Callithrix jacchus: one gene and its partners. The protein of the gene in region 1 purifies or fractionates together with the protein of each later gene. This does not show direct contact. Links are inferred from orthologs where the notes say so. Each region holds a gene or a part of one and is shown in the gene's direction. Other genes may lie near its edges. The genes, in order: PRMT1, ALYREF, CSNK2A2, CHTOP, EP300, LSM14A and DHX9.

Region 1 (3,926 bases):
AGGCGGAGACAGCAGTGAGCCGAGATCGCACCACTGCATTCCAGCCTGAGATACAGAGCAAGACTCCATCACAAAAAAACGAAAAACAGGACCGGGCGCGGTGGCTCAAGCCTGTAATCCCAGCACTTTGGGAGGCCGAGGCGGGTGGATCACGAGGTCAAGAGATCGAGACCATCCTGGTCAACATGGTGAAACCCCGTCTCTACTAAAAATATAAAAAATTAGCTGGGCATGGTGGTGCGTGCCTGTAATCCCAGCTACTCGGGAGGCTGAAGCAGAATTGCCTGAACCCAGGAGGCGGAGGTTGCAGTGAGCCGAGATCGCGCCATTGCACTCCAGCCTGGGTAACAAGAGCGAAACTCTGTCTCAAAAAAAAAAAAAGAAAAGAAAAACAAAAACAAAAAACAAACTTGGAATGATTATGTCAAAGGCTAGGATATAAGGATTTAATGTGTTGAGGCGGACACCTATTCCTCACTTGCTTAGGGACCCCAGACAGGCCCTTCCTCTCACTGATTCAGTTTTTTTCCCCCCAGAATGGGCACAAGCCCCCTTTTTCCTCCAGACCCTCCCCGGCCTGGGAAAATCCACCGAGTGTTCGAGGAGTGGGAGTTCCTTTGAGCCAATCGGTGGTGCCTGAAACCCCGCCTCCTTCACTACCCTTGGGCCAATCGTCGTGTTCTCCTTGAAGCCGGCCGCTTGGCGAGGGTGGGCCAAGGGCTGCGTGACGTCATGTTAGGATAAATCAATGGGAGCGATGAGGAGGCGGGTCGTTTTGGTGATGGACAGGCATTTCGAGACGCCCCTTTAGCGCGGGGCTCGCCGGGAAGCTTTGAGGCGGTGCTGGGGTAAAGGGGCGGGCATTTATGTAGACTTTGCCCAATCACCAGTCGCGCTTTTTGCAATAGACGGGCAGTTTTCCCCATCCCAGGTCGACTTGAGGGGGCGGGACTCTGGGCGCCAGAGTTGGCAAACCCCTGACCTATGATCGACGTCTTCTCTACCCAATAACTAGACGGTATTCTCAGACGGGCTGCCTCCTTTACCAATGAAATCTTCCGGCGGGGTCGCGGTAGGCGGGCCCTAGACCTTCTGGTATAAGACGGTCCCGGGGGAGTGAGGAGAAAGGGGGGGTCTTGGCGGCCGGAGGAGGATTAGGTGCGGGTGAAGATGGCGGCAGCCGAGGCCGCGAACTGCATCATGGAGGTGAGCGCTTGAAGCGCCGCCTTGAGAGGGGGGCGGCTTTGGGTCGGTGTTTCACAGCTCTGTGGTGGGGAAAGGGCTCTAAGTCGGCGACAGGAGGTTAGAGGTCGCCCGCCGCACACGGGGTCACCGCACGCTCCGCATCCGGGGATATCGTTTTAAGTTGCGGTTCCCTAGCTTTCAAGGGCCTTCGGCATCCGGCCTAGCGGAGGGTCTCATCCCCCCTCCCACGTGGAGGGGGGCTGGGGGCGCTTCCGGCCAGGCCCCCACGTGGCCTCGGCGCGGTGGGTGGGGAGGGGGTGTGCCGAGTCCGGTGGCCTGGCGGGCTCCACGTGCGGGACAAAGGCCCCGCCCCCGGCCGGGGAGGGGCGCCCGGGGGGGCGGGGAGGGGGCCCGACCCTCCGTCTGAGGCCACCAGCTCTCCTCCCCGGAGACGCGGGCACACGCCTTGGGGTGGGATTGATCTGGGGCCCACCAAGATGTAGGGAGTCTCTGGGGAAGGGCAGTGCTTCTCAGCCCTTTACAACCTCCTTCCGAGCTCCGGGGACATCTGTTGGGACAGCGGCCCCGGTTTTGTGCGTTCTGGGTTAGGCACTGGAGGAAGACAAAAGAATGGGGTCCCCCCGACCCCGTTTCCCATCTCAGAATTCTCCCCCTAGCCCAGAGCTTTAGGAGTTGGGGGATGGGGCATGCCCCTGTGACCTCCCTCTGGGTGGTTGTGGGGCATCTAGGTGGAGATTTTCCCATTAATAGGTGCCGTGCACCCCCTTGTGGCCATTTCTGGGTGTGTGGGAGGAACATCTTTTTCATGGGGCGTGTCCCGAAGCCCACCTACCGTCGGATTTCTTCCGGGCGGGGGAGGGAGGAGGGTATATCCGCTGGGAATGAGTGGTGGTGGGAAATACGTAGGCTGAGAGCTTTATCCTCTCCTGGAGCCCTTTATCTCCCCCGGGCCTTTGTGAGGGCGGGAGATGACCCCCCCCCCAGGGGGTCCTGAACCCCGGGGTCCTGAGGCTGGCTGCCTGAAAGGGTTTCGAGTTAGGTTGGGTTCTCTTTCAGCCATGTGGGGGAGGTTTCCGTCTTGCGTTTCAAGCCCTCTTGGGCTGGAATTGTCTTGAGGTAGTTTTCAGCGTGATTGAGAAATGGGCCCCCGCGGGAAAACCCCCCAGCACTTCTTATAGGCATCCGCGCTGGCTTGGGAGAGCTGGGGGGAGGGTGCTTGCAGCCTAGTAGGTCATGGCCTGTGATGTGGCCCTTCTTGGAGACTTGGAAAGTGGTCACATCTGGAAGAGATGTAATCTGATGGGACCTCTGTTCTTCCACCCCTTACCTATGGCACTGGCTGGAGGGGCAGGTCAGCTCTCAGGATGCAGTTCCCAGGGGTCACTGCTATGACTTCCCACCCCCTTGGCGGTCTCCTGCACCAGGGCTCTAAGGGTGGAGGAAATATCTTCCCCAGGGGTGGCCTCAGGCTTGGCCGCACCTAGGGGTCTTCAGGGCCTAGGATGGGTGTCTGAATGGAGGCGATGGGCTGACTCCCCAAGCCACTTTCTGGAGTCCTCTCATTCTTAGAGAGTCCAGGGGCTGCCCATCATCCCTGGGACTCCATCTTCCAGGGCAGAGGGTTGTAAGGGAGGGGGTTGGTTCCCGCTGGTTTTGTTTGGGGGCTCCTGAGCCCAAGGCAGGAGCTGGGGACTGGGGTACTAGCTCTGGGGGAGTGCCTGTGGGCCAAACCTCTTTTCTGGAATCCTCTCAGACAAGAGACTGGTTTGCAGAGGTGGCAGATGCCCTGTGGGCATAGCCTGCCAGCCCCCCTCCCTCCTGCTATTCATGGCACCCTAGGATAGGGGTGTGTGTGTCAGGAAGTGTCACCTAATCTGGGGGAGATTATGTGATGAGGGGGAGCGACAGCTGGCGGTGGCCAGTGCCAATTTCCCTGGCCTGGATGGGGGAGGTGTGTGGTCAGCTGCCTGGCCAGAGAGGAGCAACGTGGGGGCGGGCCACCATCTCTCCAGCCACAGCTGGGGTCGGAGACCCCCTTTCTTTTCTCTCCCCTCACTTTTCCCATCCCTTCTTAAGCACCCCACCTCATTACTTGCCCCCTTTGCCACCACTCCCCACAAAGAAGAAGAATTGCTGGAAACCCACCCACCCCACCTCCTGCCAGAGCCCAGGTCCCGCCGCCCAGCCCCCTGCAGCCACTCCTGGTAGCTAATCCTTTTTCCCTGTTACTCTCTCCTAGAATTTTGTAGCCACCTTGGCTAATGGGATGAGCCTCCAGCCGCCTCTTGAAGAAGTAAATATCCTTTTGTGAGACCCCTCCCCACCCTGACCTCCACATCAGTATATCTTGCCACACACTGGCCCTTTCTCGAGGTCTAATCATACCCCTCTTGCTTCAAACCAGTTGACCCCAGGCCCCCAGACACTTAGTAGCAACCCCTCCAGGTTCACGGCCCTGCTGGCCTCCCCCAGTATCAAGGCTACTTCCTTAACTCCACCTCCAGCCCCCCTTTGCCCTTCCCTGTGTCTGCCCCCGTTTTCCTTCCCCTCCCCTCCCCAGCTGTGGGCTGAGCTAGAGACGGGGGCAGAGAGACTGGAGATATGGTAGGCGTGGCTGAGGTATTGGGGTGCTCCCCTGGATGGTGCTCTGGGGGGGGTCGTGGAAGTGGAAAATGGGGCTGTTAGGTTTTGGGGTTCCTGGGGGGCTGTAGGGTTGTCAT
Region 2 (4,283 bases), on another chromosome or scaffold:
CCAAGATTGCACCATTGTACTTCAGCCTGGGAAACAAGAGCAAAACTCCATCTCAAAAAAAAAAAAGGAAAATGTGGGGATTTCCTGCAAGTATATTTAACAGGAGCCACTGAGGCTAGTCCAGCAGGCAGACAGCGGAAGGGACACTCACAGTCGGGGCAGCAGCCATTAAACGCCATCCTGCAGATGCCACAGTTCTCATCGTTGGCCACCCAGAGCCAAGTGGCCACGCCATTCCAGCACTTAATCTTCACCTTCATGGCAGCAGAGCCTGTACCCGAAGGGAAGAGGATGACAGGCTTAATTTAGTCTGCAGAACTAGAAGATTTAGGCACCAAAATAGGAATAAGCCTGGCACAGTGTAGTCTCAGCTACTCAAGGGGCCAAGGCAGGAGATCACTCCAGCCCAGGAATTCGAACCCAGCCTAGGAACATCGTAAGCCGTTTCTATTTTACTTTTCTTTTGTTTTTGAGACGGAGTCTTGCTCTGTCGTGTAGGCTAGAGTACAAGGGCGCACTCTTGGCTCACTGCAATCTCCGCCTCCCGGGTTCAAGCCGGCCTCCCAAAGTGCTGGGATTACAGACATGAGTCATCGCGCCCGGCCCGACTAATTTTTTTTTTTTAAGAGACAGTGTCTCACTATGTTGCCCGGCTGGCCTCACTGAGCTCAAGCAATCCTTCCACCTCGGCCTCCCAAGCAGCTGGGATTACAAGTGTGCAATGGCACACCCGACTTTCGACTTTTTTTTTTTAGATATGGGGGTCTCACTACGTTGCCCCAGCTGGTCTCAAACTCCTAGGGTGAAGCGATCCTCTTGCCTCGGCCTCCCAAAAAGTTTGGAGCACAGGCGTGAGCCCCGCGCCGGGCCCGTACCAAAACTTGTAAAGGATATGACTAGCAAATGTGAGATTGGAGACTTCGAGGTTGCAGGTGGAGACCAAAAACCCCGGCTCAAAAACCAAAAAGCAACCCGCAGCAGGTCTGCACCGGCTGCAGCCCGCTGAGGCCACTCCCGCAGGATCCCGCCCCGAGCCAAGCGCACAGCCCTCGGGCGGGCGCAGAAACAAGGACCCCCGCAGGTTCCCGGACACCCGCCGCGCCCGCAGCGCCCCCAGCCCTAGCAGAAGGGCGGGGCAGGCGGGGAGGGAGGGGAGCGCATGCCCCACTCCCAACGACCGCCGCCCAACCCCCTGCGGCCTCGCACCTTCGCCAACCTAATCACGCACGGCTCTGCCCGCCCTTCCGTTGGCAGCGCTGACGTCCGCGCGGGAAGGTATAAAAACGACCACAGTCACGGCCCGGCTCCCTCAGCAGCGCCCGCCGAGTCCCGCGCGGCAGTGCGCACGCGCTTCCCCGTCTCTCCCCGTCCCGCGCGCGCTGCGGTCCGCAGGCGGCCAATCACTAGCCGCTCCGAGGCCGTAGCACCGGAAGGCCTCACGCGGCGCCGGAGGTGACGTGCTGGCGTGCTGACGCGCGGGCTCGAGCCGATGCCCGATTCCGCGCCCGCCATGGCCGACAAAATGGACATGTCTCTGGACGACATCATTAAACTGAACCGGAGCCAGCGAGGAGGCCGCGGCGGGGGCCGGGGCCGCGGCCGGGTCGGCTCCCAAGGCGGCCGCGGCGGCGGGGCGCAGGCCGCCGCGCGAGTGAATCGAGGCGGCGGGCCTATCCGGACCCGGCCGGCCATCGCCCGCGGCGCGGCCGGCGGAGGCGGGAGGAACCGACCGGCGCCCTACAGCAGGGTGAGTGTGGAGGCCGGCCGCACCGGAGAGGGCAAGCCGGGGAGGCTGGCGGCGAAGGCCGAGCCCGGCTGGCTGATAGGGCTGGTGGAGCGGCCGCCCGGAGGTCCGGAGGGTGCGTGTGGGAGGGCGCATAGGGGGTGGTGGGCGGGGGCGAGGTCGTTCATTCCGGGCCCGGCCCGGAGGCTGAGACCCTTTTCAACCCTTTGTTCCGGCCGCCGGGACCTCGTGGCGGCGTGAGCGGAGGGGTAGCTGAGCGCGGCAACAGCGGCGGGAAGTTAGTGGAAGGGAACTGAAGTTGTGCTGCCGCGGTGGGACCGTGCGGCCTCGTACCTGGGGCTGCTTTAGCGGCCGGAGGGAGCGCTGGCGGCCTCATCTCCGCCGGATCCTCTCAGGCCGGGAAGAGGAAGGGTCCGGGGTCGCCGCGAGGACTGGGAAAGCCCTGGACTGAGACTCACAGGTCTGCTGTTGTTGTGGTTTTTCCTTCAGCCAAAACAGCTTCCTGACAAGTGGCAGCACGATCTTTTCGACAGTGGCTTCGGGGGTGGTGCCGGCGTGGAGACGGGTGGGAAACTGCTGGTGTCCAATCTGGATTTTGGAGTGTCAGATGCCGATATTCAGGTAAGAGACTAAGGCTTCTCGGTGACCCGTTCGCCCTGCACAGGACGGATCATATTTTGGGGGATGTGGCCCTGAGTCCCCTTCCCGCCTTGGCAAAGGGAGCCCTCCCAGCTCTGAAGGGCTGCAGGACAGACCTAGCGCCAGTAAAGCCAGGGTCAGTCCGCAGGCAGGTGCGAGCCTAGCCTAGCCTGAGGATCTGCTGCTCTTAGTCTGAATATGGGTTCTGTGAGTGAAAATCCTCTGCCAGGGCTTCCAGTTTCTAACAGAGAAAAAGACTGATCAAATGTGAGTGGTTCTTGGCTGTTAGACTCAGCCCACTTGTGCTTTAAATTTAGTGCCTGTTTTAGTGGGTTAATGTGACAAAAAGAATCTTCCTTATGTACCTTGTAAAGCAGAGGGAGCCTGTGTGTTTTTCTAGCTCTGTTTGACTTGAGTATTGTCTTAAAAAGACCTTGTAAATTGTGGTTTTATCACTCCCCGCCCCCATGTCCTGTCAGCGACTTGATTCTCTAACTCATTAAAGCTTTTTTTTAAAAAAAAAAAAAAAAAAAAGAAAGAAAGAAAAATTGAATCCCAACGGCATTTAAAGTTGTTTTCTGGTTAAGAAGTGGCTTTTTGGGAATCAGTTTTGGAGATGGCTGGGCAGGGTTCAGTTGTCCACAGCCTAGCCATTTGCCTTGGGAGGACAGAGCAGGGCCAGTGAGCACTCACAGTGTCTCAACACTTTTTTTAAGGTGGTTTCTAGCATCCACTGGAAACCGCTTTTGGTGAACTCCACTTCCCGCTGTGTGCCTGCGGCCGGAGTATCCCCACACTCTGGGTTCCCTCTCCAACTCCCAGCCTGCCTGAGGTCAGGGCAGTTTCCATGGCAGCGCTTGACTTCAGACTTTGCCGCAGGCTTGAGTAGGAGGAGAGGGAAAGGTGAGCCAGAATCTGCCTTTGGGGGAGGGGCTGGGGTCAGGGTTCCCAAGTCAACAGGCCCTTCAAGCTGGTCTGATACCGGACCAGTTCCCTTGCTCTTGATCTTGGCCTTTACAGTTTCTTGGAACAGCCCTTGGGTGTGTTGTAAATTTTCCTTTGTTGAAGAGGATAGTGGCTTAATTTTGTGCCCCTTTCTAGTGGGCTTTGCGACTTCCTCTACCTGCATCGTGGTACACCTGTCAGGTCCCCTCAATGGCAGGAGCCCTCAGACCCAGGCGCTCTTGGAAGTTGCTGTCCCTCCTGCCCTGCCCTTCCCTCATTTCCCATTACCACTGCCCTGCCTCCCAGGGAACCACCCCCAAAACAGCTCACGCTTCCAGGGCCTGTCCCTGGGCCACCAGAAGGAGCACAGTTTTGTTGCTCTTCTGACAACTGCTCTTTGCAACTCCAGGAACTCTTTGCTGAATTTGGAACACTGAAAAAGGCAGCTGTGCACTATGACCGCTCTGGCCGCAGCTTAGGAACAGCAGATGTACACTTTGAGCGGAAGGCAGACGCCCTGAAAGCCATGAAGCAGTATAACGGTGTCCCTCTGGATGGTGAGTGTGGGCGGGGGGACCCACGCTGACTGTCGGGCTTGTGGAGTTTGGGGCTGGCACCTGTCCAGGTAGGAATATGGGGTACCCCTGTGGCTGAGGACACTTTGCATTTGCCCCTTTGTCTCTCTCTTCCATCTGCCACCTCTCATGCTGCCCCACACATCTGGACCAACCTCTTGTGAACCCCCATCCAGCAAGCTACATCCCTCCCCTCCTTCAGCTCCTTCCGGAAGATTCACTTCTGTGAAGCCTTCTCAGAACCGCCATAGTACACCTCTGAGTGCGGGGCTGTAGTCGTAAAGACAAAGGTACCGGTTCTTCTTCGTCAGGTCACCCACACCTCTCCACCTACGAGCACCCCAACACCTCAGCAAGCAGCCCACCTAGTCTAGACTGAG
Region 3 (3,500 bases), on another chromosome or scaffold:
CTAAATTAGAGAGGTTCCATGGATTCTAAATCAGATATAGAAGTTTTACCTAATTCTGTTTATCTAATCATGGAGCACCATTGTGTTTCAGGATGCTATGCTGTAACTGTGGGGCAGTAGGTCAAGTACCAGTTAGAGATTTCACAAGCTTATAATCAGTGCATTATTCTAAGGTTTTGTTGGCTTTAGCCCTAGGAGATAAGGATTCTTGTTTAGTCTCAGATGACTAATGCTTCATTTTTCTTCTCAGACATTCAAGGAAACGCTGGGAAAACTTTATCCATAGTGAGAACAGACATCTTGTCAGCCCCGAGGCACTAGACCTTCTGGACAAACTTCTGCGATACGACCATCAACAGAGACTGACTGCCAAAGAGGCCATGGAGCACCCTTACTTCTGTGAGTCTCCAGGGACTGTGTTCAGGGGTGATTCATTAAAGAGAACACATCTTCCACTCTTTCTCTTTGAGATCAGTTAGGAGAATTCTAGGGTATTTGGATTAGATTATTCCTAGAATTTGGTCTCATTAATTGTAGATGATTGAGACAACTTTGCAGATCAGTTTCTTGATAACCAGAGCTGTTTGCTTATTCATTGGTTGGATCTCCCTTGAGTTCAGGCTGTTTGACTACTTCCTGTCACTCTGAATTCATAGATCACAAGTATCTAAAATTTGCTCTTAAATATATATACATTTATGTGGAAACCTAATTGAAGATTAATTCTCCCCTCAGAAAACTGGTACTTAGTTAAAGGTAGTAAGATAACCAGATAACCATTGTATATTTTGAAAGAAGGAGATGAACAGATGGATGGATAAAAGGAATTTGAGGAAAGGAAAATAGATGGAGAGGCTTCACTGAAATCCTGACTGAACTGCTCACTTAGAAGTGTGTACACATTCAGTTTGCGTGGTTGCTTATTGTTCCACATGTGTATGGTTCTCCCCGCTGATGACGCGTTTCAAATAAACTTCGTGCTATTACCAGTCTCCTTCCTGGGGAGCAGGGAGGTTGAGAGACTTACCTCAGTTCACTTTCTGAATCAAGATGGAAATGTTTAACCCTTAAAGTTGTTGTCTCTGGCTTGATCAATATGCTGTCTTTCCCTCTCCTTTTTTTTCCTCTGGAGATTAACTAAATTTTTGCCTGAAAAATGTATCACTGTGGTCTTGAACCTGTGACCCATATGCATGAGGGAGATAGCAAATTTAAAAGCCTTCAGCCTTCTAGACCTCAGCCCCAGAGTACTCAGATGTCCCCTTTCAGTATCTGGCTCAGAAAGCTGTTTTTACCCTTTGAGTTAGATCAAATTAGGATTATTAATGTTTATCGCATGTAATTAATGATCTTTCTGCTTTTCTGAATACATGTCATAGTTCAATTTGAAAATTTTCAAAGCACTGTTGCTTAAAATGGATTGGTCTTCTAATGGCTCTTTTACCTTTCCTTTAAAGTACTTATTACTCTACATGCTTTGAAGAAATTAGGAGTTAGAGATGATGTTAGTATTGAAAGAAAATAAAACGAGTAGAAATGTTGAACAGTGGGCAATTAGGGTTTCTATGCCTCTTAGCAGTCGAGTTCATACTTTGAGGCGGTGTAAGAGTTGACGGCAATAACAGTTGCTGGTTATTTTTCAGTGTTTGGTTTTTGTATGGCCGGAATTCCATGATTTCTGGCTCCTCTGTTGCCCTCTGACCCTGGCTTGCCTATCATTCTGTCTCTCAGTCGAAAATGTGGGTTCGCCATGGGCTTCTCTTGGCATTCCGCACCCTGATTGCCTGACTTTCCTCCTGCTTTCTTGCAGACCCTGTGGTGAAGGAGCAGTCCCAGCCTTGTGCAGACAATGCTGTGCTTTCCAGTGGTCTGACGGCAGCACGATGAAGACTGGAAAGCGACGGGTAATGCAGCATTGATGCTTGCCAATAAAACCAACCAACCAAACACAAACCTTGAAGGAAAACTACAGTGTGATAAAAAGAAATTCTAATCATTCCTTCTAAATGCAAAGAAGAGTAAAGACCTAAAAGTCTGTCAAAAAGCAAGAAAGAAACTCCCCAGTGCTAGTCTCCAGGGAGCTGTCACTGTGGCAGCATGGGGATGCACCTAGTTCAGGATCTAAAGGAGCTTTGCCTTTGGAATGCATGGGAGATAGAGACTCGGAGTTGTTGTACATTTACCTTTGTTTAACAGGGCACCGCTGTTGAATTAACCCATTCAGTCAACAAGCTCTGAATGTCTGACTTCCTATCTATTCCATTGTGGTCTGGGTTTCCTTTGGTGAAATTCAGGCACAAGTTTTAGCGAAATGTCAGCAGTCTATACTGACACACCAGCCTCATTTATGAAAAGGAGATATTAAAACAGTGACAGTATTTTTTTTTAAGCTCTTTACAAATCCATGTTTTATGTATTTTTTTATGACATGAGCTCTCCAGGAAATGTACCTCATCCCTGCAGTTTTCCTCCAAGTGGATTCATTTGGGAGCAAACTGCAGTCACTTTCACAAGAGTCCTCTTTGATGTCAGGAGGGATCATGAAACCTTGCAATGCCATGAACTGGTCCATCAGTATCATCAAAAGTTCCATGCTAAGTGCATAACTTGGAGCTCACTATAACCTTTGTTGATTTGCCTAACCATAAAATCTTGTTGGTGTTTTTTTGTTGCTTTTTCCTTTTTTTTGGCAGCCTTGTAAGGAGAACTTCACCACTTCCCAGCACATCCCTGTGTGTGCGCCTTTTTTAATGCACCTCTCTGAAACAGAGACCTTTTTGTTCACAACCATAACTAAAGCTGGAAAGTCAGTCTTCAGGCAAGGTGAGGGAGGAAGATACCCCATTAGCATTTTTTCACAAAGACCGGAAAAAAAACTTTCTCCCACTTCCTTTTATCTCATGAGATACAGTTTCCCACTGTAATCAGGGTAATATGCATTTGTAAGTTCTGATATGATACATTTATGTGATGGCAAAGATAAGTCTGTCTTGCATGCAGGTACTAGAGTTGTGTGGGCAGGATCATCTGATAAGCAACTGAGAATATACAAGGGGCTTGGGGAAGAAAGTGGTGCTCCTGGAGCAAGTGTTGGATCCATTGTGCTAACCTTCATGATAGCAGAGAAAACTAGAGTTCGTTTAACAAAAATAGGGCTGATTTCATTTTGGGGACTCAGCACCAACATGGTTTGTAGGCAGTCCCCTCACCCCAGCTGCAGGGCCATGCCACAGCTCTGGGGACTTCACATACCTAGGCTAGAACTAGAGGTGTCTACCACATCACCCTTTAGATTTCTTTATTAACTATTTAATAATGCCATACATTTTTATAAGGTTAGATTGTTTGTTTGAAACATTTGTTTACATTCCATATTCCAATAAAATCTTATTGGTATTGGTAGCAGGTCCTATCTCTAAATGTAGATTCTATTTTTGTCATTTGGTCTGTGGGAACTTAAAATACAAATGAAACTCTTCTCTTATTACAGAGTTGAGTAT
Region 4 (3,500 bases), on another chromosome or scaffold:
TGGAAGGATATGTCCAAGCTGTGGCTGGGCGTCTGGAGGGCGGTGCCATGCGACTGTAAGGGCTTTGGTAGCAATTGCATGGCTGTGCATAAGTTCAGCAGTTAAATATAACATCCTTACACCCCCACCCTGAACCATTGGGCTCACTGACCAAAAATAAACAAGGCTTTCTGCTTCAGCTACCTTAAGCCTTGGAATGATTGGATTCCTCCCTGACTCAGGAAAGCAGCCAAAAGCACCGCCATTTTCCAAGAGTAATTGGAAATTGCTGAAGATGAGTCTTTGACAGATCATTCCAAGGACCTTTCAACAAGAAGCTTTAAGTATAGGCTCTGCAGGAGGTAACCTCTATCCAGAGTAATACTGTTCAATAGAAATTTTTTTTTTTTTTTTTTTTTGAGATGGAGTCTTACTCTGCTACCCAGGCTGTAATGCACTGGTGCAATCTTAGCTCACCGAAGCCTCCACCTCCCAGGTTCAGGCAATTCTCCTGCCTCGGCCTCCCAAGTAGCTGGGATTACAGGCACCTATCACCATGCCCAGCTAATTTTTGTATTTTTAGTAGAGACAGGGTTTGCCATGTTGGCTAGGCTGGTCTTGAACTCCTGACCTCAAGTTATCTGCCTGCCTCGGCCTCCCAAAGTGCTGGGATTAAAGGTGCGAGTCACCGTGCCCGGCCAGAACTTTCTGCAACAATGGAAATATTCTGGATCTGCTATCCAGTACACTAACCTCTAGCCACATGTGGCTGTTGAAAACTTTAAATATGACTAGTGCAATTAATGAGCTTAATCTTTTTTTTTTTTTAATTTAATTTTAGGCCAGGCCTGTAATCCCAGCACTTTGGGAGGTGGAGGCAGGTGGATTACTTGAGGTTGGGTGTTTGAGACCAGCCTGGCCAACACAGTAAAACTACTAAAAATACAAAAAAAAAATTAGTTGGCATGGTTGCGCACACCTATAATCCCAGCTACTCAGAAGGCTAAAGCAGGAGAATCTCTTGAACCTAAGAAGTGGAGGTTGCGGCGAGCAGAGATCATGCCACTGCACTTCAGCTTGGGCAACAGAGTAAGACTCCATCTCAAAAATAAAGAAAATTTACATCTAATTTGGGCTGGGTGTGGTAGCTCATACCTGTAATCCCAGACTTTGGGAGGCCAAGGCAGGTGGATCACCTGAGGTCAGGAATTCAAGACCACCTGGGCAACATGGTGGAACCCTGTCTCTACCAGAAATAAGCTGGGCGTGGTGGTAGCACCTATAATCCCAGCTACTCGGGAGACTGAGGCAGGAGAGTTGCTTAAACCTGGGAGTCATAGAGTTTAGTGAGCCAATACTGAGTCACTGCACTCCATCCTGGGTGACACAGTGAGACTGTCTAATTTAAATAGTCACATGTAGCTAGAGGCTGCCTTATACAGCACAACTCTAAAGTGAAAACAATTATATAGTTAACTTTTTTTTTTTAAGAGACAGGGTTTCTCCATTTTGGTCAGGCTGGTCTCGAACTCCCGTACCTCAGCTCATTCTCCCACCGTGCTAGGATTACACGTGTGAGCCACTGCATCCGACCTGTAGTTGACATCCTTAAGTTTCCTGTGAATATTAAAGGCCAGTATTGGTGGCAGTGAAGGGTTGGAATGGACTAAGAACTTTCCAGCAGTGGACGGATCTCCTTTTACCGCACAAAGCTTGGGAGAATAAATATATGCAGGGTAACTGAAGAAAAGGGGCTTGTGGAATGCAGTCCTAGCCTCATAATTGTGTGTTAATCAGGGGAGTAACAGGACAGGTGTTTATGGATGGTTACACCTACTTATGCTAGATGCATCATGTTTGGTACGTTCCCTACTGATGAGAAGCAATTTATGATCTTGTGCTAGGAAGTTAATAATAATGCTTCACAACATCTTTTTGAGAGGTATGATTAGAAAACACTCACATAGGCCAGGCATGGTGGCTCACACCTGTAATCCCAGCACTTTGGAGGCCAAGGCAGGCACATCACCCGAGGTTGGGAGTCTGAGACCAGCCTCACCAACATGAAGAAACCCCATCTCTACTAAAAATACAAAATTACCCAGGTGTGGTGGCGCACGCCTGTAATCCCAGCTACTCGGGAGGCTGAGGCAGGAGAATCACTTGAACCTGGGAGGTCTTGGTGAGCCAAGATCACACCATTGCATTCCAGCCTGGGTGACAACAGTGAAACTCCATCTCAAAGAAAAAAAGAAAACACACACATACACCTTGGTAGTCACTTATGGCTCGAGACTGAAGGGACCGTAGAATTTATTTTCTTTTATATTGACTGATGGCTTTATGGATAATCAGGTTTGCTAGGACCTTGGTTTTGTTCAGGGCTATTGCTGTTCCTTTTTCCTTTGAAGGAATTTAATTCTCTGAGATGTAGTCTTAATGATTTTCTTTTGAGAAAAAATTCTTTAAAATACTCTGTCTCTGGAGTGTGTCCCTGTCCTCATACATGGCCCTGAGTTTTGTGATTACAGCTCATCTGAATAATTCTGACAAGTTTGGCTGGCACTCTGTGGAGATACATTTGATTTACATGTTTATTTTGAATTTAAGGTCATCATACTATTTTAAAGGAGCTGTTTGCAAGGGCAGGCTTGGAATTAAGGATTTCTAAGAAACGAAAGGAGATTTGACTTTCTTGTGTTTATTTACATCTTAAGGTAAAAAGTGGACCGTCTGGAGATAGATTCTCAGAGGAAAAACGGAGCACACGGGCCTCTTTGAGAAATCAATCTTGTTCTTAAGTCACAAGAACTCAAGTAAACTTGTCGTTTAAGTTTTGCCCAGAGTGTGATGAACTCTTCCTTTGGTGTTTGAGTAAGCCTTTGAAGACAGTGCTAGTTGGTGGGCAGGTATGAATCAAGTCGTATCATTGTCAGCCTGTAGTTCAAAAGCAGTACAATCCAGATTGAACTATAGAAATGTTCTTACTAAAACTTTGAACTGGCAGTGTATGACTTCTGTAGCCAGACTAGTGAGGTAATTTGTGGAGATGTCCATTTCATGAGACCACACTTGAGCTTTTTGAAGTTTCAGCTCTGGATCAAAATTCTGCTTCTTGTCTAACATGTTCCGAGGCAAAGGCTTGCTTCTGGTTTGGGGTCCTTATGACACCACAGCAGGTTTATCTCCCTTCACACCAGCATCTCACTTGCTGCTTTCTCTCTGCACTTTGAGTTGCTAGATCCTGTTGGATTGCTTTTTTGATCTCAATCCCCTAACACCTTTTCTTCCAGAAGAGCTTAAAGCAGCGCCTGGGTAAGAGTAACATCCAGGCACGGTTAGGCCGACCCATAGGGGCCCTGGCCAGGGGAGCAATCGGAGGACGAGGCCTACCCATAATCCAGAGAGGCTTGCCCAGAGGAGGACTACGTGGGGGACGTGCCACCAGAACCCTGCTTAGGGGCGGGATGTCGCTCCGAGGTCAGTGCTGTGTACCCTGATAATTGTCAGGCCCTACTCCC
Region 5 (3,958 bases), on another chromosome or scaffold:
TATCAATAGATAATAGTTTGTGAGTTTCTTTGGGGGTCACTTACACCCATACCACCTTCTCCAGTAACAATTTACACAAGGTCAAAACACAGGGTAATGTGTAGAAACCCGAAAGCATGTCTCCGACCTCAGCTGCAAAACTGCTGGGTCCCACACACTGGACTTTCCCCCCGTTACATTTTTGCTTTTTTCCATCCTTACCTTTACCACATTTTTGCTTTTTCCCATAATTACATTAGATAAGGCACTGGCTTGACGTGGTCTTTTATTAATTTGATCTATTGGGAGCAGACGGAAAAAAAAAAGAAAAAAGAAACCTAAAAATGTCTTCAGGTCCCAGGCGTGTTCAGAAAAGAAAGACTTCTGTGGTGAGAGTGCTACCTGGTAGGGGCGTATGGACGGACACACGTGGAGGGCAAGAAATGTTGGGTCTGGTGCCGAAACATCTTCCTTCCCACTGCTGTGATTTTTGTTTTCTGGTCAAAGTAATATATGCTCGTTGTGGAAAAAAAAAAAAAAAGGAAAATTCAGAGGAAATTGAAAACAACTCGTAATCAACGTGCTTTTTGGATGTGAACTACTCCCTTTGGGAAGCCAATGGAGAAGTGAGGATGCACTGGGTATTCGGCAGTGGGTACACCCTGGCTTATGGATTCGACCGGGGTTTGGGGGACCCGCCACTCAAAGGCCAGGAAGCAGGGCCGCCCCACGGGCGCTCCCCTTTGGCCATCTAAGTGGCGACTTGGCGTCTTCCTCGGCGCAGCTCCCGGGCTCAGTCGCCCAGGTTCCCACCGGTCCCCTACAAGAGACCAAAGCCAGGAACCTTCCCTCGTAACTATCGACCGACAGAAAATAGATTGAGTCCGCCCCCACCCCTCCCCCCTTAAAATCCTCTCCCCTCTTAAAAATCCTCCCCTTTAAAGGGAGCCACAGGGTGTCGCCGGGGGAGTTTGCGGAAGCGCTAACCGCGTTGGGGACTAGGGCGGATCCCGTGATTGGAACCGGCCCCGCCCCCGGCGCCACTTCCCCCATTGTGTGAGCGGCTCGGGCCTAGGCCCCGCCTCCCTTCGGAGGCCCGGCCCCTCCCCTTTTTCACCCCCCTCCTTTGGCTCATTTCCGGCCGCCGCCGCTACCGCTAGCCTGTAAGGAGGATTCGGCAGAGGGAAGAAACAACAGCCGCCATCTTGTTTGTGTGCTAGGTTGGGGGGGAGAGAGGCGAGAGGGAGCGGGCGAGAGTGGGCAAGCGGGACGCCGAGCTGAGTGCGAACTGCGGGAGCCAGAGAGTGCGGAGGGGATCCGGGACGGAGAGAGGCGGCTGGGGCCGAGACAGTGGCAGGGGGCCTGGGGCGCACGGGTTGAGGCGACCCCTAGCCCCCTCCCGTCCGCACACACCCCCACCGCGGCCCGGGAGCGGGGCCGGCGTCGACGCCTAGGGGGGACCATTACATAACCCCGCGCCCCGCGGCGCCTTCGCCCGCCGTCGCGGTCGGCCCCGAGCGGAGCCCCGGGGGGGCGGGCTCTCCCAGCACCTGGCCGCCGGCGGAGGGGACCGTAGCGGCGGCCGTATTTATTTATTTTCCGCGCGAGAGGAGGGCGAAGGAGAGAAGCGCGGCGCGAGGAGGGGCCGCCTGCGCCGCCGCCGGAGCGGGGCCTCCTCGGTGGGTTTGGCGTCGGCGCGGGCGGGCGGCGCTGCTCGGCCCGGCCCCCTCGGTCCTCTGGGCCGGCCAGCTCCGCGCCTGGCGTTCTTGCCGCGCCTCCGCCGGCCGCCGTGCGATGTGAGGCGGCGGCGCCAGCCTGGCTCTCGGCTCGGTTGAGCTCTCTGCGGCCATTAGGGGCCGGTGCGGCGGCGGCAGCGGCAGGAGGAGGGTTCGGAGGGTGGGGGCGCAGGCCCGGGAGGGGGCACCGGGAGGAGGTGAGTGTCTCTCGTCGCCTCCTCCTCTCCCCCCTTTTCGCCCCCGCCTCCTTGTGGCGATGAGAAGGAGGAGGACAGCGCCGAGGAGGAAGAGGCTGATGGCGGCGGCGGAGCTCCGAGAGACCTCGGCTGGGCAGGGGCCGGCCGTGGCGGGCCGGGGACTGCGCCTCTAGAGCCGCGAGTTCTCGGGAATTCGCCGCAGCAGACGCGCTCGGTGAATTTGTGCTCCTGTGCCCTCCTCCGGGCTTGGGCCCAGGCCCGGCCCCTAGCACTTGCCCCTACCTTTTCTATCGAGTCCGCATCCCTCTCCAGCCACTGCGACCCGGCGAAGAGAAAAAGGAACTTCCCCCACCCCCTCGGGTGCCGTCGGAGCCCCCCAGCCCACCCCTGGGTGCGGGGCGGGGACCCCGGGCCGAAGAGATTTCCTGAGGATTCTGGTTTTCCTCGCCTGTATCTCCGAAAGAATTAAAAATGGCCGAGAATGTGGTGGAACCGGGGCCGCCTTCAGCCAAGCGGCCTAAACTCTCATCTCCGGCCCTCTCGGCGTCGGCCAGCGATGGCACAGGTTAGTTTCGGCAGCCCCGGCCTTCCACGTTCCTCTTAATCTTTTCTACTCGGTGCTCCTTTATTCCATTTTTTTTTTTTCCTCTCTCCCTGTCCCTTAATTAATTTTAAAGGTATTTGAATGAGCTGATCGAAGACGTCCAGTAGCCCAACCATTTTCTTTGCCTCCTAATACATTGGTTGCAACACTGTGTCATATCGGTGTGTGTTCTGGAATTAGAGCTCGTAAGTGGGTGCTGTATAGAAATGGCCTGTATTGTTGCTCCCGTGCAGTTTAATTTGGGAAATGCCAGTGCATTTATGAGTAAGAGCTTCTATGCAATTTAAGTTTTAATTTTTTTTGTTCTTGGTAAATGAAGAATTTCGAATCCTTTCTCCTCATTGTACTTACTCTATTTTCTCTACTTTCCACCCTTTTCAAAATTTTCTCTCCTTTGCAGAATATTTTCTGTTAAATAGGATGTAAAAACTTGATTTTTGTGTGTGCGAGGTCCAAGATTTCAGATTAGAAGCGAAGTTTAACAATTGTTTTGTCTTACCTACCCTTCTTAGCTTTTTCCCCCTGCTTTTTCTTATTTGCTGTAAGAATCAATATGGAGTGCAGTTCATCTCACATCTTCCAGTTTTGGTGTGAGACCAAAATGTCTGAAACTCTGGATTTTCAGGTTGTGAGAACAGGGTCATGTTCTTTGTAGTTTGCATTCACTTTATCATTTTAGGAGGAAGAAAAAAGATAAACAATTTTGTGGAGTTATGTACCTGAAAATCAACGTTAGAAGTTGAAAGAGTTCCAGTCAGGAACTACGAACATGAACTGATTATACAAAAGTTTAAAATGTGCATTAGCTTTGGTGTTTTTGTGTTTGTCTTTTTACACTTTTAAACACATTTGGAGATCAAGATTTTTATTTAAAAGCTTTCCGGATTCTTCAGTTCATTCAGTTGTGGACCAGCCCCTTTGTCAGAGAAGTTCAGGGAGACTTCTTCCATCATCCCCTTCATTCTCTTCTTACAGTTAGTTTAATGGTGTTATCCTGATGGGCGAGGACCTTTTCTTTGCTGGAATAATGAAGATGAAGAATGGCTGGCCATCTGACAGCCCACAAGATGTTCCCCTTTACTACGGAGCATCTCTTTAACTCCCTGAGAACAGGCTCAACGTCATCCTTCCATCTGCCAGTGAGAGTGCATAATGGAGTTAAATGTACCCTTTGAGTTTGTAGAGAACTTGGAGAACATGTTTCTAAGTAGGCTTCATTTCAGAGTGAATATGGAAAGACGGAACAAATGCTTTGAATTCGTTGCTTTTATAAGAAAGATGTAAAATGAATTTCAGTTAACCTGCAACAATTGGGAAATAGGAATCTTGCAGAGTTCCTCTATTTAAGGCTTGTAACACTGATTATGCATGTACTTTGATCTGTACCTATTCTATGAAGGTACTGTAGTCTCCAAGGATATTTTTTAGCTGTTTTTTTTCTT
Region 6 (4,263 bases), about 13 Mb from region 1:
AAGAGACAGACACATACAAATAAGTAAACATACTTGAGAGAGATACATGCTATGAAGAAAATGCAAACTGAGTTAAGGGGATGTAGAGTGATGTGGGTGGTATTATTTTAAACAAGGTTGTCAGGGACGTCATCTCTGGAGGTGATATTTGAGCAGAGATTGGAATAAAGTGTTCAAATACTAGTTGAATTAGACGTGACTGGAACAGAACGAGAAGCAAAATCATGCATGTCCTTTGAAGCAGTCTGGTTTCCTCTCTGTGTAACATGGGATCAGTAGAGTGAGTAGAGAAAGGACATGATCTGAGTTCGATTTTAACAAGTTCTCTCTGGCTGCTGTGTTGAGAATAAACTAGAGGGCAAGGGTTGACACAAAAGCAACTTTTAGAAGGCTGCTGCAATAACTTAGCCAGAGTAATCGCGGCTTGTCGTGCAGCTGTAGGGATGGAGATGAGGAGAAGGGGTCAGATTTAGGAAATATTCTGTAGACATAACAGAGGTGTACTCAGAACAGATGTGGAGGCAAGACAGAGGTCAAGGCTGACTCAAGGCTTTTAGTCTGAGCAGCTGAGTAAAAATGGTACCTGTTACATCAATGGGGAACGGTGGTGAAGGAGCAGGTTAGAGGAGAAACAGGGAGCATGGCTTTGGACCCTTAACGTTTGAGATACCAATTCCACAGAAATCGGAGTTCACGGAATTGATCCAAGTTACAGACTGATACTTGGGATTGGTGAGTTGCAATGGCGATGCAAGCCATTAGGCTGGTTCAGACCAGATGAACGAGCGGGACAGGGCGAGCTGAAAAACTGGGTCCTTTTGAGAGCCCCAGCTCCAGGAGCAACCTCAGGGGAAACTTCCTGGGCGATGGCTGCGGTAATGGAGCCGTGGAAGCTCCACGAGGTACAGGTTCAGCGTCTTAAAAGGATGAGCAGCGACTCGCCAAAGCTCGGAGGCAGGTGGGTGGGCAGCGCTCCAGACGGGGGGCCTCGCGTCGGCAAAGACACGGGACCCACGACAAAGAGGCCGCGGCCTGGGTCAGGAGGGCCGCGCGCCTCCTCTCCAGCCCTCAGCGAGCGGGTGCCACGAGGCACTCAGCAAGTCCCCGAAATTCCTCTCACGCTGCCCCAGGACTGCCGTCGTAGCCCAGGTAAATAGGCGCTGACAGGACTCCCGAAGCCGCCAAGCAGTCGGGAACCACCCGCCACCTGCCAAGTCTCGCGAGGGCGCGGCCTCGCCCTCCCAGCATGCTCCGCGCCGCCGCCGCTGCCGCCGCGGCCGCCGCCGCGCCGCGACTTGAGGGCGGGAGGCTGGGGGAGGGTAGCGGAGCCGGCACCGTCGCCATGTTGGGTCTGAAGCGGCTGCTGTAGGCGCCGACCTAGCGAGCGGGCGTGCGGAGCGGGCGACAGCGGCGTGGGATCTGCCTCTCTGCGAGCGGCCCGGGGCGGCGGCGGCGGCGGCGCCATGAGCGGGGGCACCCCTTACATCGGCAGCAAGATAAGCCTCATCTCCAAGGCAGAGATCCGCTACGAGGGCATCCTCTACACCATCGACACCGAAAACTCCACCGTAGCCCTCGCCAAAGGTACGTGGGACCGGGCCTCGGGGTGGGGGTCGGACCGGGCGCCACTCAAGGCTGCTCCCCGCTCCGGCCCTCAGCCTCCTGGCTCGCTCCTTCCCCTCCCTCCGTGGAGCTCCGGGAGGCCGCTCCCCTCCATTCTCCGGGCCCTGGCGTCGCGGGCCGGACCGCGGCCTCCCCGCGTCTCCCTGGCTTCCGCCCCCCAGGAAGGTCCGCGCCTGAAGCACGGGGAACTACGGGACTGAGTACGCGGCGGGCGGGCGTGCGGGCGGCCCTGAAGTCCGACAACGGGCGGGAGAACACGGAGAAACGGGTCTTCCAACTCCGAGATTCGGGAGTTCTGTTGTCTTAGCACAAAACAAAGCCCGAGTATTCAAAGAATTTTTTCGCCCAGCTTGAGTTCATCGTGGATGCGTTGACTCCACAGCACCCATTTTCTCACTTTATTCATTTCTGTTCGTGGCGATCTTCCTCAGGAGAACTCTGAGTAATGTGCTAAAACTTTGGGTTTGCTCTGCGACGCAGACATTTTCGAAATGCCATCGGTGCAGTGGAGCAGATCCCATCTCCCTCGGCTCATCCTCTGTTGGTATTTACCTGTTAAACCGGAATTCTCAAAGCCTGTTGTGCAACCATCTTCATTAGAGCGTGCGGTAAAAATGTTTGCTGCTTCCCGGACGCCCCTGCTTCTGGAAACGAGTTCAAGCTTGTCCGGGACCCTTCTTGATCCAGGCGATCTTGACCTTTGATCCAGGCTCAGTGGGCATTGACTGAAGGCTCGTTGGGAAAGGGAATTCTGTCGAGAAGGAAGGTGCCCCTACCCATAGTATTAATATTTGGCATCCCTAGAGTCTGTGTGGGTTTTGTTTCCGTTCACACGTGCAGGGCCTTTGCTCCTCCAGGAAAGCAGAAAGAAAATAAACGTTAGCTCCTGAATCTTAAGGAAATCTCACAATAGTGTAAAATATTTTGGGGGAAGCTAGATAACCTAGGTGATTTTCCCAGCGCTTCTGGTAGAGGTGGGAACTGCATAAGCATGCTTAGGGATCCTCTAGATAGGTCATAGGTACAAGGATAAGGAAGATTTTCATAATCTGTAAAATTTTTTAAATCTTTAACTGATAGGGGAGTGGTTTCACGGAATCAAGTATTTCAGGACATTTCTTTGGATGCTTTGGTAAATCCCTTTTTTTTTTTCCTCTCTCTCCTTCCCCTGAGATGGAGTTTCGCTCTCTTTGCCCAGGCTGGAGTGCTGCAATGGCATGATCCCGGCTTACTGCAATCTCTGCCTCCCGGGTTCAAGCGATTCTCCTGCCTCAGCCTCCCAAAGTAGCTGGGATCACTGGCATCCGCCACAGCGCCCTGCTAATTTTGTGTTTTGAGTAGAGACGGGGTTTCACCAGGTTGGCCAGTCTGGTCTTAACTCCCGACCTCAGTTGATCAACCCTCCTGAGCCTCCCAAATTGCTGGGATTATAGGCGAGAGCTACCACGCCTGGCCTCTGGTAAATCTTTTTAACAGCCCTAGTACTGGAACAAATTTTACACCTGGGTAGGGAACCTTGATGTTATAGAACTGTACACAGTAAGGGAGTAGTACGAGATGGCTACAGTTGCACAACTCTGCAGATTTGCTGAAAATCATTGAATTATACACTTTGAAATCACCAAGTCTAATTTTAAAAGTGTGAAAAACCAGGGAGTACCCCTAAATTTCCCTGTTCACCTTGTGAAACATTGTGTTGTGACACATTACCTCATTAAAACAACTGTAGGAGGCCGGGCGCGGTGGCTCAAGCCTGTAATCCCAGCACTTTGGGAGGCCGAGGCGGGTGAATCACGAGGTCAAGAGATTGAGACCATCCTGGTCGACATGGTGAAACCCCATCTCTACTAAAAATACAAAAAATTAGCTGGGCACGGTGGCGCGTGCCTGCTAATCCCAGCTACTCAGAAGGCTGAGGCAGGAGAATTGCCTGAACCCAGGAGGCGGAGGTTGCGGTGAGCCAAGATCGCACCATTGCACCCCAGCCTGGGTAACAAGAGCGAAACTCCGTCTCAAAAAAATAATAAAAATAACTAAAAAAAAAAAAAATAAAACAACTGTAGGCTTAGGGCTTTGTCATCTTTTTAGACATCCACTATACTTGAGGATGTATGATGGTGTTTAGTGGTTATTAAAGACTTTCCCAGTGATACTTCTTAAGTAACTTAGTTTTTGATTGGCCTTATTTTTTATTTTTTAATAGTAGATATTTAGCTGTGTAGTATTTTTCTGGCTTTATGAAATTATGAAAAAGCCTCTATGAAGTTATGAAAAGTGCTGGATCAGAGCCAGATATGGGTTGAAAATAATTTCTCATTAAAGTTGTTTAATAAATTTTTTTTAAGTGTTGCTTTGCCTAATCTGAATTTAAAGTGTCTTGCCAGTTTAGTGACTCAATAAATTGGCTGTGCTATCTTCACGCCTCACAAGGAAAAAAAACATACATTTGAAAATTTCTGAAGTATTTTCGTTCTTTTTTAAAAACTATGAACATATCCTTTTATGCAGGAACCCCAAAAGTCTACACTTTAACCCACATTTTAAAAACTTTTAAGCAGCTTTGAGTCGATAAATATTTCATTAGTCTGTAATAGTTAAATTCATTCGACATAAAATATAAATTTGTTTTTTGTGTCATGA
Region 7 (3,981 bases), on another chromosome or scaffold:
ATTTTATTTGACTCGATAGACTTTATGACTTAAGACTCCTGCTTAATAGCTGGCAGTGAATTTTAAGAGGCTAGTGCTGATTATATTATTACTGTCCATATCTGTTTTCTCAAGTTTGGGGCCATTCTAAGTAGTTTTTTAAAGGAATGTTTTTTGCCATTTTAGGATTAAACTACAAATATCTCATGAAGCTGCTGCCTGCATTACTGGTCTCCGGGCAGCCATGGAGGCCCTGGTTGTTGAAGTAACCAAACAACCTGCTATCATCAGCCAGTTGGACCCCATAAATGAACGTATGCTGAACATGATCCGTCAAATCTCTAGACCCTCAGCTGCCGGTATCAACCTTATGATTGGCAGTACACGGTGAGTACCATATTAACTTATCTTTGAACTAAGTAGGAGAGAGATCTTATGTAGGCCTAGAATCTTAGAGTTAGTGATAGAAGTCTTATTACTTAAGTTAAAATTCTAGACAAACACCATATATAGGGAATTTAGTGCCGGCTAACATGCTCAGAATGGTTTTTACTTTTGTCAGTCCCTTGTTAGTAATTGGTCCATTGCATCAGTGAGTGCATGTTGGTAGTGCTAGAAAAGGATCTTACAAGTACGTATATAGTTCAGAATGGGTGACATGACAGGGAAGTGACAGAGCCCACATAGTCCTCTTTCCATGGTACAGTTTTGGCATCACTAAAGAAAAAATACTTATGAGATGTTAAATTGCTTTCATCAAATGTGTATGTGTTTCTGTTTAAACAACTAGAGCATGGATATTTAAGAAATTTATCTTAATTTTTAAAATTTTTATTTGCTTTAGGTTTTTTAAATGTTTCTTTTCCCACGAGTTTTTATTTACAAATACTTAATACCTACCAAAAACTCAGAAGAGTGATACAATGTATAGCCATATAGTCTTTATTTACATTCACTAATCTTCAGTGTTTTGTACATTTGGTTAATTGTTTGTGCTGAAGTAGCAGGCATTATCACGTTTTTCATCAGTACACTTCATATCTTTTGAAACAGCACCACAATACCATAGTCACACCCCAAAACGTTAAGTGTTTAGTAATGCTATAATATACTAATGTATTAAAATTCTTCAGGTTATCCAAAAATGATCTGTAATTCCTCATCAAAAATGATTTATTGGATTTGATCTATGAGCTAGGTAGATTGTTATCCTCATCCTCTTTAAGGAAACTGGGCACAGATGAGTTTAAGACCCAAAGTCATACAGCTAATAACTGATAAAACCAGATTCAAACCCAGATAACATGGCTTCTGAAACGGTGCTCTCATTATGCTATCCTGTGGCCCTTCTCGGTGGTTAAATGTATAATTCAGTAAGCGTCATAGGCAGGCAGATGCAAATGAAGTACTCATGGGTGTTTAGAAGAGCCAGGTGTGGTGGCTCATGCCTGTAATCCCAGCACTTTGGGAGGGTTAGGTGGGTGGATCATGAAGTCAGGAGTTTGAGACCAGTCTGACCAACATGCTGAAACCCCATCTCTAAAAACAGAAACAGCCCGGCCTGGTGGCGCGCACCTGTAATCCTAGCTACTCAGTAAAGAGGCTAAGGCAGGAGAATTGCTTGACTCCGGAAAGCGGAGGTTGCAGTGATCTGAGATGGACCTGCTGCACTCCAGCCTGGGCAACAGAGTGACTCTGTCTCAAAAAAGAGATACTATTTTTGGTAGGATAGCTGGTAAACAAAGGAGCCTTTGTATAAATAATATGTTTCTATGAAGAATAAAAGTCCAGAAACTAGGAAGAGGAAGAATGGGATATATGTAGAGAGTTTGGGATGTATAAATATGATGGTGGCCTGAATTACAGTGGTAGATAGAATTGCAGTGGGGAGATGTGACTGGATTCAACAGATTTATGGTAGAATCAGTAGGAATTGGTGATGGACTAAAATGGAATAGTGCGATGAAAAAAGGAAGACAGATATCAGCTGTATTTCTTTTTTGAGAGGCAGTCTTGCTCTGTGGCCCAGGCTGGAGTGCACTCACCTCTGCCTCCCAGGTTCAAACAATCCTTCTGCCTCAGCCCCCTGAGTAGTTGGGATTACAGGTGCACACTACCACACTTGGCTAATTGTTGTATTTTTAGTAGACAGGGTTTCACCATGTTGCCCAGGCTATTCTTGAACTCCTGGCCTCTGCTGATCCACCCACCTTGGCCTGCCACATTGCTGGGATTACAGACATGTACCACTGCACCTGGCCACACAGCCATATTTCTCACTTAACAGCTGAATTGGTAGTGTTGTTCTCAAAGAAAAGCTGCACAAGAGTAATAAGCAGATTGGGAATCTGTTTAATTGGAGTTGTTGATGGTCCATCTTGATTTCTGCTATTTTTCATTAGCCTTCATTTTCTTTATTTGTCACAGGAAATAGGTAATTACCAAGGACATTATTCAAAATCATACTTTAGAAATAATTCAGGAAAACATTTGGTGATAAAGACCAGTTTATTGGTAGCTGCAGGAACCCTCTCCTAATGCTTGCCTTCTTGGAACTTTATATTGTTTAGCTGAGTAAAAGAAGCCTATCCTAAACTTGAAATGACATACTGCCAAAATTCGAAACCTTTGAGATTGAACCAGAAAGAAATGTAGAAAAACAGATCGATAGAATTGATGATTATTTAGGAATAGTATATCAATTTTATTTCAATTTCTGTTTGCATTTGGCTTAATTCCTTTTATGTATTAAAATTTGAAATACGACATTTGGTGCATGGTTGAGAAATTACGCTTCGCTAAAGTGATGGTTTTGTGCTTTTTCTAGGTATGGAGATGGTCCACGTCCTCCCAAGATGGCCCGCTATGACAATGGAAGCGGATATAGAAGGGGAGGTTCTAGTTATGGTGGTGGAGGCTATGGCAGTGGCTATAGCAGTGGAGGCTATGGTACCGGAGGCTATGGTGGCAGTGCCAACTCCTTTCGGGCAGGATATGGTGCCGGTGTTGGTGGAGGCTTTAGAGGAGTTTCCCGCGGTGGCTATAGAGGCAACTCTGGAGGAGACTACAGAGGGCCTATTGGAGGCTTCAGAGGATCTGGGGGATTCCAGCGAGGAGGTATTAGGGGGGGCTATGGAACCGGCTATTTTGGACCGGGAAGAGGAGGTGGTGGCTATTAAGGCTTGGTTATGTCCGTTCCTGTGTGTAGACAGTAAGAAAAAAAAAAAAGCATGCTATGTGTTACGTGTTTTTTTCCAGTATGTTTATTTGCCACCAAAAAGTAAATGCATTTTTCCACCCATTCTGTGGTTCATTGTAGTTTAAGGAAACCAAACATAGATGCATTAGTGATTCTGTTTATATTATGTAAAATATTACGATCTATCTTAAAAATACCACAGTTTGTATTTTTTCTTTAAGGAGTAAAGATTTGCCTTTAAAAATAACTTGGTATTTTCCTGGCTTTCGTTTAATACAATAGAAAATAAAGTACTACACCGAATACTTGCTGTGGAGTTTGTTTGTTGACCTCACATATTAGAATAATTTTACAATGCCAGTTACATCTGTTCATTTTAAATGTCAGAGAAGTTGTACCCTGTTTCAAAAGTCTACTAAATGATACTACTTGTAATAGAATAAATAACCTTGGAATTGAATTGTTTACTGGAAAGTGCACAAGCCACATAAACCTATGCTCCTGAATAAAAGTTTTGACCTGAACATTTCTGGCTTCCTCCCAAGGCCAGCATTTTCTTTTCTAAGTCAGTTTCCACTATGACAAAGGTAATATAATCGATCCACAGAACTCTTGAATTAAAGGTAAATGAAGCTTCACTGATGTACACATTTTAGAGTTTGGGAGCAGGTGACACATTTATCTACCTTATGTTGCAAAAGGTGTTTGTTAAGCTACTTTGTTTTAATAGAGATGTTTATAAACACTAGTTTCCAGTGAATTTTCAGATTTCTCATTTGTGCAAGATACAGTGGAGGGCAAAG

What was found.
Region 2: the proteins of PRMT1 (region 1) and ALYREF purify together in Homo sapiens (affinity purification with mass spectrometry; 3 studies listed by BioGRID and IntAct, with this or other methods). This does not show direct contact. The link is inferred for Callithrix jacchus from reciprocal best matches to the Homo sapiens genes PRMT1 and ALYREF.
Region 3: the proteins of PRMT1 (region 1) and CSNK2A2 purify together in Homo sapiens (affinity purification with mass spectrometry; 3 studies listed by BioGRID and IntAct, with this or other methods). This does not show direct contact. The link is inferred for Callithrix jacchus from reciprocal best matches to the Homo sapiens genes PRMT1 and CSNK2A2.
Region 4: the proteins of PRMT1 (region 1) and CHTOP purify together in Homo sapiens (affinity purification with western blotting; 7 studies listed by BioGRID and IntAct, with this or other methods). This does not show direct contact. The link is inferred for Callithrix jacchus from reciprocal best matches to the Homo sapiens genes PRMT1 and CHTOP.
Region 5: the proteins of PRMT1 (region 1) and EP300 purify together in Homo sapiens (affinity purification with western blotting; 4 studies listed by BioGRID, with this or other methods). This does not show direct contact. The link is inferred for Callithrix jacchus from reciprocal best matches to the Homo sapiens genes PRMT1 and EP300.
Region 6: the proteins of PRMT1 (region 1) and LSM14A purify together in Homo sapiens (affinity purification with mass spectrometry; 3 studies listed by BioGRID and IntAct, with this or other methods). This does not show direct contact. The link is inferred for Callithrix jacchus from reciprocal best matches to the Homo sapiens genes PRMT1 and LSM14A.
Region 7: the proteins of PRMT1 (region 1) and DHX9 purify together in Homo sapiens (affinity purification with mass spectrometry; 3 studies listed by BioGRID and IntAct, with this or other methods). This does not show direct contact. The link is inferred for Callithrix jacchus from reciprocal best matches to the Homo sapiens genes PRMT1 and DHX9.

The regions. Positions count from the first base shown.
Region 1 is NC_133523.1:43,444,349-43,448,274, forward strand, and holds the start of PRMT1 (protein arginine N-methyltransferase 1), read left to right. Parts: upstream 1-1,126; 5' UTR 1,127-1,170; coding exon 1,171-1,206; intron 1,207-1,305; exon of another isoform or gene 1,306-1,487; intron 1,488-3,445; coding exon 3,446-3,499; intron 3,500-3,710; exon of another isoform or gene 3,711-3,807; coding exon of another isoform or gene 3,808-3,825; intron 3,826-3,926. UniProt on the Homo sapiens protein: Arginine methyltransferase that methylates (mono and asymmetric dimethylation) the guanidino nitrogens of arginyl residues present in proteins such as ESR1, histone H2, H3 and H4, FMR1, ILF3, HNRNPA1, HNRNPD, NFATC2IP, SUPT5H, TAF15, EWS, HABP4, SERBP1, RBM15, FOXO1, CHTOP, MAP3K5/ASK1, MICU1 and NPRL2.
Region 2 is NC_133506.1:137,488,185-137,492,467, reverse strand, and holds the start of ALYREF (THO complex subunit 4), read left to right. Parts: upstream 1-1,483; 5' UTR 1,484-1,489; coding exon 1,490-1,747; intron 1,748-2,233; coding exon 2,234-2,365; intron 2,366-3,737; coding exon 3,738-3,885; intron 3,886-4,283. Other genes in the region: anaphase-promoting complex subunit 11, read right to left, coding at 152-260. UniProt on the Homo sapiens protein: Functions as an mRNA export adapter; component of the transcription/export (TREX) complex which is thought to couple mRNA transcription, processing and nuclear export, and specifically associates with spliced mRNA and not with unspliced pre-mRNA.
Region 3 is NC_133521.1:16,047,686-16,051,185, reverse strand, and holds part of CSNK2A2 (casein kinase II subunit alpha'), read left to right. Parts: intron 1-250; coding exon 251-399; intron 400-1,810; coding exon 1,811-1,887; 3' UTR 1,888-1,904; intron 1,905-3,500.
Region 4 is NC_133519.1:14,060,070-14,063,569, forward strand, and holds part of CHTOP (chromatin target of PRMT1 protein), read left to right. Parts: intron 1-3,272; coding exon 3,273-3,459; intron 3,460-3,500. UniProt on the Homo sapiens protein: Plays an important role in the ligand-dependent activation of estrogen receptor target genes. May play a role in the silencing of fetal globin genes.
Region 5 is NC_133502.1:191,898,496-191,902,453, forward strand, and holds the start of EP300 (histone acetyltransferase p300), read left to right. Parts: upstream 1-1,158; 5' UTR 1,159-2,383; coding exon 2,384-2,477; intron 2,478-3,958. UniProt on the Homo sapiens protein: Functions as a histone acetyltransferase and regulates transcription via chromatin remodeling. Acetylates all four core histones in nucleosomes. Histone acetylation gives an epigenetic tag for transcriptional activation.
Region 6 is NC_133523.1:30,894,967-30,899,229, forward strand, and holds the start of LSM14A (protein LSM14 homolog A), read left to right. Parts: upstream 1-1,463; coding exon 1,464-1,584; exon of another isoform or gene 1,585-1,867; intron 1,868-4,263. Other genes in the region: uncharacterized protein LOC144580722, read right to left, coding at 1,094-1,465. UniProt on the Homo sapiens protein: Essential for formation of P-bodies, cytoplasmic structures that provide storage sites for translationally inactive mRNAs and protect them from degradation. Acts as a repressor of mRNA translation. May play a role in mitotic spindle assembly.
Region 7 is NC_133519.1:41,075,479-41,079,459, forward strand, and holds the end of DHX9 (ATP-dependent RNA helicase A), read left to right. Parts: intron 1-165; coding exon 166-366; intron 367-2,806; coding exon 2,807-3,158; 3' UTR 3,159-3,481; downstream 3,482-3,981. UniProt on the Homo sapiens protein: Multifunctional ATP-dependent nucleic acid helicase that unwinds DNA and RNA in a 3' to 5' direction and that plays important roles in many processes, such as DNA replication, transcriptional activation, post-transcriptional RNA regulation, mRNA translation and RNA-mediated gene silencing.